2 linked regions of the Stegostoma tigrinum genome follow. The protein of the gene in region 2 interacts with the protein of the main gene of each other region in a pairwise test. Links are inferred from orthologs where the notes say so. Each region holds a gene or a part of one and is shown on either strand. Other genes may lie near its edges.

Evidence for each region.
Region 1: the proteins of morn3 (region 2) and rsph1 interact in binary tests that used the Homo sapiens proteins (3 or more experiments, as listed by UniProt). The two-hybrid records come from large-scale screens. The link is inferred for Stegostoma tigrinum from reciprocal best matches to the Homo sapiens genes MORN3 and RSPH1.

What each region holds. Positions count from the first base shown.
Region 1 is NC_081365.1:1,201,172-1,208,262, forward strand, and holds the start of rsph1 (radial spoke head 1 homolog), read left to right. Parts: upstream 1-3,966; 5' UTR 3,967-7,091.
Region 2 is NC_081379.1:25,093,887-25,101,431, reverse strand, and holds the start of morn3 (MORN repeat-containing protein 3), read left to right. Parts: upstream 1-4,494; 5' UTR 4,495-4,662; exon of another isoform or gene 4,663-4,768; 5' UTR 4,769-4,771; coding exon 4,772-4,916; intron 4,917-7,545. UniProt on the Homo sapiens protein: Assembles a suppression complex (suppresome) by tethering SIRT1 and MDM2 to regulate composite modifications of p53/TP53.

The sequences.
Region 1 (7,091 bases), on a different chromosome or scaffold from region 2:
CCTCGATGTTGTACCAACCTGTCATACCGATCTCAAGCCCATCTAACCTACACTATTCCATGTACATCCATATGCTTGTCCAGGTTGGAGGCTGTGGTTGGGAGGTCCCCTGAGGTTATGAGGTCATGGATAGTAGTGGAGATGATGGTTTGGTGCTCGGGTGTGGGGTCATGATCGAGGGGGCGGTAGGAGGACGTGTCGGTGTATGCGGAGATTGCTGGGGTAGTATGTGAGGACTAGGGGGATACTCTTTTGGCGGTTATTGCGGGGGCGAGGTGTGAGGGATGAAATGCGGGAGACTCGGTCGAGGGCGTTCTTGACCACTGCGGGGGGAAAGTTGCAGTCCTTGAAGAACGAGGACGTCTGGGATGTGCGGGAGTGAAATGCCTCATCCTGGGAGCAGATTCGACGGAGGCAAAGGAATTGGGGATGGAATTTTTGCAGGAACGTGGGTGGGAGTAGGTGTATTCTCACAGCTACCTAGAATACACCTCCTCCCACCCAGCTTCCTGCAAAAATTCCACCCCCTATTCCAAATTCCTTTGCCTCCGTCGCATCTGCTCCCAGGATGAGGCATTTCACTCTGGCACATCCCAGATGTCCTCGTTCTTCAAGGACCGCAAACTCCCCCCTCCCCCGACCCCCCACAATGGTCGAGAATGCCCTTGACCGAGTCTCCCGCATTTTCCCACACCTCATCCCTCACACCTGGCCCCCGCAATAACCGCCAAAAGAGTATCCCCCAGTCCTCACGTATCACTCCACCAATCTCCGCATACAATGCATCATCCTCCGACACTTCCGCCATCTACAATCCGCTCCCACCACTAAAGACATTTTGCCGTCCCCACCCTTGACTGGGTTCCAAAGAGACCACTCTCTCTGGGAATCCCTTGTCCGCTCCACACTCCCCTCCAACCCCACCACACCCGGCACTTTCCCCTGCAACCGAAGGATGTGTTACACTTGCCCCCACACCTCCTCACTCACCCCCATCCCAGGCCCCAAGATGACTTTCCACATCTGGAATGGTTGTTGGAGGTTCCGGGATTTAGATGTTTCAGTAAGAACAGTGAAGATGGTAAAAGGGGCGGAGGTGTGGCATTGTTGGTCAAGGACAGTATTACAGTTGCAGAAACGATGTTTGGGGACTCATCAACTGAGGTAGTAAAGGGCTGAGGTTAGAAACAGGAAAGGAGAGGTCACCCGGTTGGGAGTTTTCTATAGGCCTCCAAATAGTTCCAGATATGTAGAAGAAAGGATAGCAAAGATGATTCTCGACAGGAGTGAGAGAGACAAGGTATTTGTCATGGGGGACTTCAACTTTCCAAATATTGACTGGGAACACTATCGTTCGAGTACTATAGATGGGTCAGTTTTTGTCCAGTGTGTGCAGGAGGGCTTCCTGACACAGTATGTTAGATAGGCCAACAAGGGGCGAAGTCACATTAGATTTGGTACTGGTTAATGAGCCTGGCCAGGTGTTAGATTTGGAAGCAGGTGAGCACTTTGGTGATAGCGATCACAATTCTGTTATGTTTACTTTAGTGATGGAAAGGGATAGGTGTCTACCACTGGGCAAGAGTTATAGCTGGGGGAAAGGCAATTACGATGAGATTAGGCAAGATTGAGGGAGCATAGGATGGGGAAGGAAACTGCAAGGGATGGGCACATTAGAAATGTGGAGCTTGTTCAAGGAAAAGCTCCTGTGTGTCCTAGATAAGTATGTACCTGTCAGGCAGGGAAGAAGCTGCAGAGTGCGGGAGCCGTGGTTTACAAAGGAGGTAGAATCTCTGGTCAAGAGGAAGAAGGCGGCTTATGTTAGGATGAGATGTGAAGCCTCAGTTAGGGCGCTTGAGGGCTACCAGTTAGCCAGGAAAGACCTAAAGAGAGAGCTCAGAAGAGCCAAGAGGAGACATGAGAAGTTGTTGGCGGATAGGATCAGGGTAAACCCGAAGGCTTTCTATAGGTATTTAAGGAAGAAAAGAATGTTGAAAGTAAGATGAAGGCCAATCAAGGATAGTAGTGGGAAGTTGTGTGTGGAGTCAGAGGAGATAGGTGAAGCACAAAATGAATATTTTTCAACAGTATTCACTCGAGAAAACAACAATGTTGTCGAGGAGATTACTGAGATACAGGCTACTAGACTAGGTGGGGTTGAGTTTCACAAGGAAGAGGTATTAGAAATCCTACAGAGGGTGAAGATAGATAAGTCCCCTGGGAAGGATGGGATTTATCCTCGGATCCTCTGGGAAGCCAGGGAGGAGATTGCCGAGCCTTTGGCATTGATCTTTACCTCGTCATTGGAATAGTGCCAGATGACTGGAGGATAGCAAATGTGGTTCCCCTGTTCAAGAAGGGGAATAGAGACAACTCTGGTAATGATACATCAGTGAGGGTTAGATAGGGTGGATAGGGAGAGCCTTTTTCCTCAGATGGTGACGGCGAGCACGAGGGGGCATAGCTTTAAATTGAGGGGTGAGAGATATACAACAGATGTCAGAGGTAGTTTCTTTACTCAGAGGGTAGTAAGGGAATGGAATGCTTTGCCAGCAACGGTAGTAGATTCGCCAACTTTAGGTACATTTAAGTCGTCATTGGATAAGCATATGGACGAACATGGAATAGTGTCGTCTAGATGGGCTTCAGATCGGTATGGCAGGTCCACACAACATTGAGGGCCGAAGGACCTGTACTGTGCTGTAATGTTCTATGTTCTATCAAGCAGATGTTCACCTGCACAACTGGCAATATGGTATACTGCATCTGCTGTACCCGTTGTGGCTACCTCTACATTGGGGAAACCAAGCGGATGCTTGGGGACCAGAAATAATGGGAACTGCAATTGCTGGAGAATCTAAGATAACAAAGTGTGAAGCTGGATGAACACAGCAGGCCAAGCAGCATCTTAGGAGCACAAAAGCTGTTGTGAAGGGTCTAGGCCCGAAATGTCAGCTTTTGTGCTCCTAAGATGCTGCTTGGCCTGCTGTGTTCATTCAACTGCACACTTTGTTATCGTGGTTGCTTGGGGACCGCTTTGCAGAACACCTCCGCTCGGTTCACAATAAACAACTGAACCGCCCAGTCACGAACCATTTCCACTCCCCCTCCCATTCTTTAGATTACATGTCCATCATGGGCCCCCTGCAGTGCCACAATGATGCCACCCGAAGGTTGCAGGAACAGCAACTCATATTCCGCCTGGGAACCCTGCAGCCATATGGTATCAATGTGGACTTCACCAGCTTCAAAATCTCCCCTTCCCCCACTGCATCCCTAAACCAGCCCAGTTCATCCCCTCCCCCCACTGCACCACACAACCAGCCCAGCTCTTCCCCTCCACCCACTGCATCCCAAAACCAGTCCAACCTGTCTCTGCCTCCCTAACCTGTTCTTCCTCTCACCCATCCCTTCCTCCCACCCCAAGCCGCACCCCCAGCTACCTACTAACCTCATCCCACCTCCTTGACCTGTCCGTCTTCCCTGGACTGACCTATCCCCTCCCTACCTCCCCACCTATACTCTCCTCTCCACCTATCTTCTTTTCACTCCATCTTCGGTCCGTCTCTCCCTAATTATTCCAGAACCCTCTCCCATCCCCCTTTTCTGATGGAGGGTCTAAGCCCGAAACATCAGCTTTTGTGCTCCTGAGATGCTGCTTGGCCTGCTGTGTTCATCCAGCCCCACACTTTATTATCTTGGAATTCTCCAGCATCTGCAGTTCCCCTTATGTCTGTGATACTCAGAGGTCCGTGTGCCCGCCCCTTAGGATACAGAGCCCGCCTCCTGAAACTCGGGCTGCTAACACTTGATGAAGAAGCCCGGATCTGAAAGTTTTCAAATTAACCTGTTGACTGTAATTTGGTGCGGTGTGATTATTCACCGAGTCATCGCCGGCACTTCCGCATTGGTCCCGGCCGCTTTAGGCCACGTGACCGCGCGCGGGCTGGAGGTGTGGCAGGAGCGTTGTCATGGTTTCGGTACACAGAGCAACGGTCCGAGTGTGAGGGTCACAGAGGGAGAGGGAGAGGGGACAGTGTGAGGGTCACAGAGAGAGAGAGGACAGTGTGAGGGTCACAGAGAGAGAGAGGACAGTGTGAGGGTCACAGAGAGAGAGAGAGAGAGAGGACAGTGTGAGGGTCACAGAGAGATAGAGGACAGAGAGAGGGAGGACAGTGTGAGGGTCACAGAGAGAGAGAGGACAGTGTGAGGGTCACAGAGAGTGAGGGGGAGAGGACAGTGTGAGGGTCACAGAGAGAGAGAGGACAGTGTGAGGGTCACAGAGAGAGAGAGGACAGTGTGAGGGTCACAGAGAGTGAGGGGGAGAGGACAGTGTGAGGGTCACAGAGAGAGGGAGAGGGAACAGTGTGAGGGTCACAGAGAGAGAGAGGACAGTGTGAGGGTCACAGAGAGTGAGGGGGAGAGGACAGTGTGAGGGTCACAGAGAGGGAGAGAGGACAGTGTGAGGGTCACAGAGAGAGGAAGAGAGGGAGGACAGTGTGAGGGTCACAGAGAGAGAGGGAGGACAGTGTGAGGATCACAGAGAGAGAGAGAGAGGGAGGACGGTGTGAGGGTCACAGAGAGAGAGTGAGAGAGGGAGGACAGTGTGAGGGTCACAGAGAGAGAGAGGACAGTGTGAGGGTCACAGAGAGAGAGAGGGAGGACAGTGTGAGGGTCACAGTGAGAGAGGGAGAGAGAGGGAACAGTGTGAGGGTCACAGAGAGAGAGAGAGGACAGTGTGAGGGTCACAGAGAGAGAGGGAGAGGGGACAGTGTGAGGGTCACAGAGAGAGAGAGAGAGAGAGGGTCACAGTGAGAGAGGGAGGACAGTGTGAGGGTCACAGAGAGAGAGAGGACAGTGTGAGGGTCACAGTGAGAGAGGGAGGACAGTGTGAGGGTCACAGAGAGAGAGAGGAGAGTGTGAGGGTCACAGAGAGAGAGAGAGGACAGTGTGAGGGTCACAGTGAGAGAGGGAGGACAGTGTGAGGGTCACAGAGAGAGAGAGAGGGAGGACAGTGTGAGGGTCACAGAGAGAGAGAGGACAGTGTGTGGGTCACAGAGAGAGAGAGAGAGAGAGGACAGTGTGAGGGTCACAGAGAGATAGAGGACAGTGTGAGGGTCACAGAGAGAGGGAGGACAGTGTGAGGGTCACAGAGAGAGAGAGGACAGTGTGAGGGTCACAGAGAGAGAGAGAGAGAGAGGGGACAGTGTGAGGGTCACAGAGAGAGAGAGAGAGAGGGAGAGGACAGTGTGAGGGTCACAGAGAGAGGGAGGACAGTGTGAGGGTCACAGAGAGAGAGAGAGACAGAGGACAGTGTGAGGGTCACAGAGAGAGAGAGAGGACAGTGTGAGGGTCACAGTGAGAGAGGGAGGACAGTGTGAGGGTCAGAGAGAGAGGGAGAGGACAGTGTGAGGGTCACAGAGAGAGAGAGAGGACAGTGTGAGGGTCACAGAGAGAGAGAGAGAGGACAGTGTGCGGGTCACAGAGAGAGAGAGAGGGAGAGGACAGTGTGAGGGTCACAGAGAGAGTGTGAGAGCGAGAGGACGGTGTGAGGGTCATAGAGAGAGTGTGAGAGAGGGAGGACAGTGTGAGGGTCACAGAGAGAGGGAGGACAGAGTGAGGGTCACAGAGAGAGAGGGGACAGTGTGAGGGTCACAGAGAGAGATAGAGAGAGAGGGAGGACAGTGTGAGGGTCACAGAGAGAGAGAGAGGGAGGACAGTGTGAGGGTCACAGAGAGAGAGAGAGAGGGAGGACAGTGTGAGGGTCACAGAGAGAGAGAGGACAGTGTGAGGGTCACAGAGAGAGGGAGAGAACAGTGTGAGGGTCACAGAGAGAGAGAGAGGGAGGACAGTGTGAGGGTCACAGAGAGAGAGAGGACAGTGTGAGGGTCACAGAGAGTGAGGGGGAGAGGACAGTGTGAGGGTCACAGAGAGAGAGAGGACAGTGTGAGGGTCACAGAGAGTGAGGGGGAGAGGACAGTGTGAGGGTCACAGAGTGGGAGAGAGGACAGTGTGAGGGTCACAGAGAGAGGAAGAGAGGGAGGACAGTGTGAGGGTCACAGAGAGAGAGGGAGGACAGTGTGAGGGTCACAGAGAGAGAGAGAGGGAGGACGGTGTGAGGGTCACAGAGAGAGAGTGAGAGAGGGAGGACAGTGTGAGGGTCACAGAGAGAGAGAGAGAGGACAGTGTGAGGGTCACAGAGAGAGAGAGGACAGTGTGAGGGTCACAGAGAGAGAGAGAGGGAGAGGACAGTGTGAGGGTCACAGAGAGAGTGTGAGAGCGAGAGGACGGTGTGAGGGTCATAGAGAGAGTGTGAGAGAGGGAGGACAGTGTGAGGGTCACAGAGAGAGGGAGGACAGTGTGAGGGTCACAGAGAGAGAGGGGACAGTGTGAGGGTCACAGAGAGAGATAGAGAGAGAGGGAGGACAGTGTGAGGGTCACACAGAGAGAGAGAGGGAGGACAGTGTGAGGGTCACAGAGAGAGAGAGGACAGTGTGAGGGTCACAGAGAGAGAGAGGACAGTGTGAGGGTCACAGAGAGAGGGAGAGAACAGTGTGAGGGTCACAGAGAGAGAGAGAGGGAGGACAGTGTGAGGGTCACAGAGAGAGAGAGGACAGTGTGAGGGTCACAGAGAGTGAGGGGGAGAGGACAGTGTGAGGGTCACAGAGAGAGAGAGGACAGTGTGAGGGTCACAGAGAGTGAGGGGGAGTGGACAGTGTGAGGGTCACAGAGTGGGAGAGAGGACAGTGTGAGGGTCACAGAGAGAGGAAGAGAGGGAGGACAGTGTGAGGGTCACAGAGAGAGAGGGAGGACAGTGTGAGGGTCACAGAGAGAGAGAGAGGGAGGACGGTGTGAGGGTCACAGAGAGAGAGTGAGAGAGGGAGGACAGTGTGAGGGTCACAGAGAGAGAGAGGACAGTGTGAGGGTCACAGAGAGAGAGAGAGAGGACAGTGTGAGGGTCACAGAGAGAGAGAGAGACGGGGAGAGGACAGTGTGAGGGTCACAGAGAGAGAGAGAGAGGACAGTGTGAGGGTCACAGAGAGAGAGAGAGAGGACAGTGTGAGGGTCACAGAGAGAGAGAGAGGACAGTG
Region 2 (7,545 bases):
CCATCCAGTGCTTCTACAATCCTTGACATTGTCCTCCAGGAGATTTCAGGAACTGATGTGATGTGGAAGGGTAATCTGTTGAAGCCAGACCTCCCAAACAATGTAATGGATATTGTGAATGATGTGGACTTTTCATGGATGGGCTGTTGCCAAACCTCATCATGATGTTATGTAGGCCCTCTGCTTCTTTGGGGGGTCCTAAGGGTAGTAGGGGAGGTGATGGCTTAATGGTATCATTGCTGGACTGTTAACTCAGGGATCCAGGTAGTGTTCTTGGGACTTGGGATTGAATCCCACCATGGCAGATATTGGAATTTGAATTCAATAAAAATCTGAAATTAAGAGTCTAATGCTGACTATAAAACCATTTTCAATTGTTGGAAAAAATCCATCAGATTTACTAATGTCTTTCAGAGAAGGAAATCTGCTTTTCCTATCTGGTCTGGTGTACATATGACTCCAGGCCCACAGCAATGTGGTTGACTTTTAACCGCCCTCTGGGCAATTGTGAGTGGGCAATGAATGTTGGCCTAGTTAGTGATGTCCTGTGAATGAAATAAAATGATTCCAAAAATCTCTCTTTGCATCTAGCTTCATGAAGGTTGAACTGTTTCCCAGTTTACCTAAGCTTTCATCCAGACAACAAGACACAAATTTCAATTTTAATAACTTTGTTCAGTAATGCAAGATCTGTCAAATTCTGATAGATCAGTTGAATTTTGGCACTGGGAGCATCCCCAAGCATCAGTTTGTTGGTTCTGTCACAAGTAATAGAATCAAATTCCTTTTTTTAAGCTTTGGGAAGAGTGCATGAGGAACCTTTTTGGGAGTAAATAAACACACTTGCTTTATCTTGGGAATATAATGTGATGTTTCCATGTTGAATTGCTGGTTTTTGAATAAAACACAAACATAAATGTCTGCTAAAGGGAAGTTCCTTGCAATCTGATTTTTTATGTTACGGTTTTAATGTTGAGCTGTATGCATGACTAGACTTACAATAGTAAACGGAGCACTGATTTCCAAATAAATTTACAATTTGCGTATAAACTGCCATTGTGATTTCCCAGAACTTACAACTAGTTTAAAATTTAATGTAATGTTGATGTGATGTCACAGGTGCAATTCTGCATGCACAGATCATCAACGTATCAGAGAAAGACTTGTAGATGAGGACCTGAGTAGGACAGGAACAAGGAACGTTTCAAAAACCCCACAGAGAGACAGGCACAGCTGGGACGTATGTCGGTACGTACACCTACACGTTTGACTTGGAGAAAGTGAGATGAGTTAATGAATAAGTTGTTTAAATTGAGAACAAGCCCAGCCAGGCCAAGGAAGTTGGTGATGGACAGGGACTGTTCAAGCCTGTTTTCAAGGAAGTATCAGAGAACCTTCAGACCATCCTAATGGGGGCTGGACATTCACAGTGATTACGTGTTCATAATGAAGAAACAATGAGTAAGGCCAGAAATGTGACAATTGTGGAACTGACATAAAGTATGAAAAGAATCAGGAATGTATGTGGGAAGAGAATGAACAAAGGGCGAAAGATAGGCTAACTTTCCTATTATGTAATTTGGACCAGATTTGCTGTTACCTTGCTGAGTTTTGTTGTTTTCTCTAAGCTTATTTTTGAGTCTGAATTATCATTGTGCTTTTATTATTCTTGTAGTGAATTGAACTATGTTAAGGGCATAGGAATAAGATTACAGAGGTAGGCCATTCATTCTCTTGAGTTTGCTCCACCATTCTAGATTATAGCTAGTCAATGTTATTTTCTCATGTAATCACTATTTCCCAATTATTCTCCTAATCTCTCAACTGTATTTTCCTTCCATGCAAGATGGTGAATGGTGCTGACAGTGGACAACTCCTTGTGAGTTCCAATAGCAGATCTAACTCTAACATTTCTTATAATCGCTCTACACTTTTAAACTTAAACACTAAATCAAGTAATGTAACCTGCATGCCTCTAAATCTTTTTGATCTGTACATCCTTTGCTTGCTGTGATCTGCCTGTACCGCTCACTTATTTCGGTACATGTGACAATAAAATCAATCAATCAAACATTTTCACTGTTTGGTGGCCTGTAATGCATGTCAAGGATTGCATTACTTCTTTGTATACCTTAATTTTCTTATTAAATTTATCTTAACACCACTCATAATCTTTAAATTCCAGTCCTTTAATATAATCCTATACAAACCCTACTGGCTTGTTTTCCATCTTGTCTCATGAAAATGTTATATTCAGGCATGTTAAATCCTCAGTTCTGTTCAAACCCAAACCACATCTCCATTATTGGTATTATACTGCCCTCCATAGTATAAATATTTATTAAGTCATACCGCATGGAAACAGACCATTTGGTTCAACTCATCCTTACTGACCAAGCTTCCCAAATGACACTAGTCCCTCATGCCTGTGTTTGGCCCATATGCTTCTAAATCATGCCTACTCTTGTACCTGTACATATGTCTTTTTAAATGTAACTGCACCTGCATCCACCACTTCGTCTGGCAGTTCCACATACAAACCACCCTCTGAGTGAAACAGTGGCCCTCAGGTCCTTTTTAAATCACCTCTCACCTTAAAATTATGCCCTCTAGTTTTGAACTCCCCTACCCTAGGGAAAAGACCTTTACTTTCACGTTATCTATGCCCCTCACGATTTTATACTTGTAACTCTGTAGTATTGTTTTGAGCATTTGGTTCATTTTCGTTCATTGTATCCAATTCATACTTCAATTATTTTGGAATTTGATTAGAATTGACTCGAAATCACCATACATTCAGCTGAAAATAAAGTTTTGATGAGTCCCACCGATCTGGTTACCTGGTGTAATTGACAAATTGGAATGTATGAGGTTGTATATATGCCTGCCAAGCTGGTGGATTTGGAGAAAACTGAAGGAACTGAATAGCCTACCTCTATAATCTTATTCCTATTCCCCTAACATAGCTTAGTTCACTGCCAGAATGAGAAAAACATAATGATAATTCAGACTCAAAAATAAGCTTATAGAAAATGAACAGACTCACTAATCACCCTACAGTATATCAAGGGCATTTCAGAGAGGACCATAAGACTACTCAGACTCCTGGGTATCAGAGTAATCCACAAACTCACATCACCCTACCACAGCTACTGACAAAGGTAAAGGATTCCATACCCAAAACCAACAAAACTGGTGTAATATACAAAATACCTTGCAAGGATGTGTGAGAAATACCACATAGGCCAAACTGGAAGAAAACTGACAATACGGATACACAAACACTAACTAGCCACCAAGAGACACAAAAAAATTTTCACTTGTCTCAATACACACAGACAAGGAATGACACGATATTGACTGGGACAACGCATCCATTATCGTACAAGCCAAACAGAGACACGCTAGGGAATTCCTGCAGTCCTGGTCTTCCAACTGGAACTCCATCAACAAACACATTGAATTAGACCCTGTGTACAAACCACTGAGAAACAGAACCAGAAGTAATACCAACATCCCAGCAAACCGATTCATATAAATAACAAGCGGGACAGAACACTGATGCTTAACTAGAGGCGCACTGACGATGTTACTGAGCAGGGTGACAAAATGTCTGCAACCAAACCCACCGGCTCAGCAAGCATGTCTTTAACCTCACACAACCCTCATCACCAGTCTTCTTGAAAACTTTAATTGGAACACATTTTTGTAAACAATTTCCCCTTTGAAAATGTACCTTAAGATGTTTGGGGGAAATTTGAGATAACGATTTCAAAAAGCTTTGAGTGATCAGAATTACCAAAATAAATAAAAACATTTCAATGATAGAAATTGGGAAACATCCCATAAACAGCAGGTCAACTCTTATCCATTGTATTAGAGATAATGGGAACTGCAGATGCTGGAGAATTTGAGATAACAAAGTGTGGAGCTGGATGAACACAGCAGGCTAAGCAGCATCTTAGGAACACAAAAGTTGACATTTCGGGCCTAGACCCTTCAACAGAGTGCTCCTAAGATGCTGCTTAGCCTGCTGTGTTCATCCAGCTCCACACTTTGTTATCTCTTATTCATTGTACTTTGTGTAAAGATGCATGCCATTTGAAGGAAATACAACGAATTTATTCAACTGTTCAGGTCTCTACAGGTACCATTTTGTTTTTTTCAAATTAGCAGCTGTGTGAACTGCTTCATTTGTGAGTGATTATCCAACAGCTCGCATTAAATAAGAGAGCGATTCAGACCTAAGGTTAGCTGGGACTGCTGTGTTCATCCAGTCTCACATTTTATTATCTTAGCAACCTCTTGCTGGCTTTAATGTTATTTCCTATGGGTGGGGTAATGGGGTAAAATAACTTCTCCTTTTATCAAAAAAACCAGTTTGACAGTATTTTTCACTTCTTTACTCTCTTTTGCCCCGTTTTGCTAACAAAAAGCACATGACGAATCACAAGGCCCGTCTCCGTTGCTATAGGAACAGGCCGTACACTATCGCACAAGGAGCGTCAGCGACGGCGGGGATTGTTAAACATCCTCTTGTAGCCTCGCTGTTGCTGATATGCACGAGTGCCGATTTTCTGCAGGTCTTTCCGATAACGAGTTGCCAAGGGTTTTCGAGTGAAAACGGGTCCATTTCCATTAAACTCGTCTTGTGAAAGACAGGTAAAGAGACCCAGTCTCGGCCTCTCCTCCTTCAGCCGGGAGTGTGCAACGCTTTGCCTCCTTCTCACAAGTTAAATTCTTCCATAGCTGTTTTTTGTTATAAAAGAATATGCCATTTCTGAGGCCTCGGAAGCCCAAAGAAAATCGGTGGCATGAGTGGGATCGAATTGCACAGAAAAACGGTTTAAAAAGCACCGTCTACTCATTAGGCGGGGACGAGTATACAGGAGAGTGGCTGGACAATAAAAAACATGGTAAGACTTTTTTTTTAAGTACAGTGCATCATTTTACAAGATATAACTTCTGAAAACAGAGTTAAAAACATGGCTCAGATTGGCTTTAAGCATGAACTTCATGTCCTGCGCTACTCAAAAGTAATGACAGTAGACCAAACCATGAGTTTAGAATGCATGCGACACATAAAAAGACCATTCAGCCTATCATATCCACAATAGCAGCTCGGCTTTTTATATTTTTATATTGCTGTTGTTTGCTCTTCAAGTGTATTCATTCACATTTCTGTGCAACCAGTTTCATCTGCCACTTGTTAGCCCACTTCACCAGCCCTTCTCTATGTCCTTTTGAATTCTGTTATAATTCACAATACTTCCAGGCTTTTTGTTGTGTACAAATTTTGAAATTGTGCACTGTACACTTGAGCCTTTGTGATTAACACTTAGCAGGAAAAATAGTCGCAGAAACAGAAGTTGCTGGAAAAGCTCAGCAGGTCTGGCAGCATCTGTGAAGAGAAATCATCGTTAATGTTTCCAGGCTAGTGACCCTTCCTCAGAACTGATGGTAGCTAGAAAAAGGTTGGTTTATATACGGAAGATTGGGTGGGGGAAGGGGGTAAGGAGTAAATGATAAGTAAGGATAGTGCCCAAAGAGAGAGAAGAACAGTTGGACATAAAAATAGTTTAAAAAGACAAGTTGTGAGAGGGATTAAAACTGTTTACAGAGAGATATTGATAGTTTGGGTGGGCAAAAAGTTGGCAAATGAAGTATAATGTGGGAAAACCTGAAGTTCATTTTTGAAGGAAGAACAAAAGAACAGCGTTATTTAAATGGGAAAGAAAAACTGCAGAAAGCTGCAACACAAAGGGACTTGGTACATGTGTACAAAATACAGGATGTTAGCAACAGGTAATCAGGAAAGCTAATGGAATCAGAGATAATGGGAACTGCAGATGCTGGAGAATCCAAGATAATAAAATGTGAGGCTGGATGAACACAGCAGGCCAAGCAGCATCTCAGGAGCACAAAAGCTGACATTTCGGGCCTAGACCCTTCATCAGAGAGGGGGATGGGGTGAGGGTTCTGGAATAAATAGGGAGAGAGGGGGAGGCGGACTGAAGAAGGAGAGAAAAGAAGATAGGTGGAGAGAGTATAGGTGGGGAGGTAGGGAGGGGATAGGTCAAGGAGGTGGGATGAGGTTAGTAGGTAGATGGGGGTGCGACTTGGGGTGGGAGGAAGGGATGGGTGAGAGGAAGAACAGGTTAGGGAGGCAGAGACAGGTTGGACTGGTTTTGGGATGCAGTGGGTGGAGGGGAAGAGCTGGGCTGGTTGTGTGGTGCAGTGGGGGGAGGGGACGAACTGGGCTGGTTTAGGGATGTGGTGAGGGAAGGGGAGATTTTGAAACTGGAATGTTGGCTCTTGTTTCAAGAGATTTGGAGAATAAGAATAGGGAAGTCTTACTGGAACTGTGCAAAGTGCCGGTGAGATCACATATGGAGTACAAGGAAATGTTTTTGTTCCCTTCTGGAAAAGTATCATTTAACTGGAGACAGTTCAAAGAAGGTTTACTGGGGTGATCCCTGCTATGGAGGGATTGTCTTCAAAGGCTAGACAGGTTGGGACTTTACTCACTGAAGTTTAGATGAATGAAAGGTGATGTCATTGAACCATATAGGATTCTTAAAGGGTCTGACAAGGTAAATACTGAGATATTTCCCCTCATAGGAGAATCCAGGACCAGAGGGCATAGTCTCAGAATAAAGGGGCACCAATTTTACAGACTGAGATGAGGAATTTCTTCTCTCGGAGGGCTATGAGTCGTTGGAACTCCTTGCCGCAGGGACTTGCAAGGGCAGAGTCCTTGTGTATATTTAAGGCTAAGGTAAAGTTTGTCAGCAGGGGAATCAAGAGTTATGAAAAAACATGTAGGAAAGTAGATGTGAGGAGTGTTGATCAGCCATAATCCTGTTGAATGTCAGTTCCTATTTCCTATGGTCTTATGGCGAATGTAAACTCCTGTTTAAGAAGGGAGGGAAGCAGAAGACAGGAAATTACAGGTCAGTTAGTCTGACCTCAGTTATTGTTAAGACTTTAGAGTCCATGATTATTAAGGATGAAATTGCGGAGTACTCAAAAGTGCATGGTAAAGTAGGGCTGAGCCAGCATGGCTTTGTCAAAGGACATCATGCTGAACAAAAGCAATTTTTTGAGATGGTAACAAGCAAGTTAGACAAAGAAGAGCCAATAGTGTGATCTGTTTGGATTTCCAGAAGGCCTTTGACAAGGTGGCACACAGGAAGCTGCTAAATAAGATAAGAGCCCATGGCGTCTGTGGAAGGCTGCTGGCGTGGATAGAGATTGGCTGACTGAAGAAGGCAAAGGGTGGGGATAAAGGTGGATTTTTCAAAGTGACAGTGGGTGACTTCTGGAGTTCTACAGGGGTCAAAGCTGGAACCACAACTATGCACTTTATACATTAATAATCTGGACAAATGATCTGATGGCATTGTTGCTAATTTTGCAGATGATGCAAAAATAGGTGGAGGGATAAATAGTATTAAGGAAGTGAGAAGGCTGCAGGAGGACTTGGACAGGTTAGGAGAGTGGGCATAGAAGAGGCAGATAGAATACAGTGCAGGAAAGTGTGAA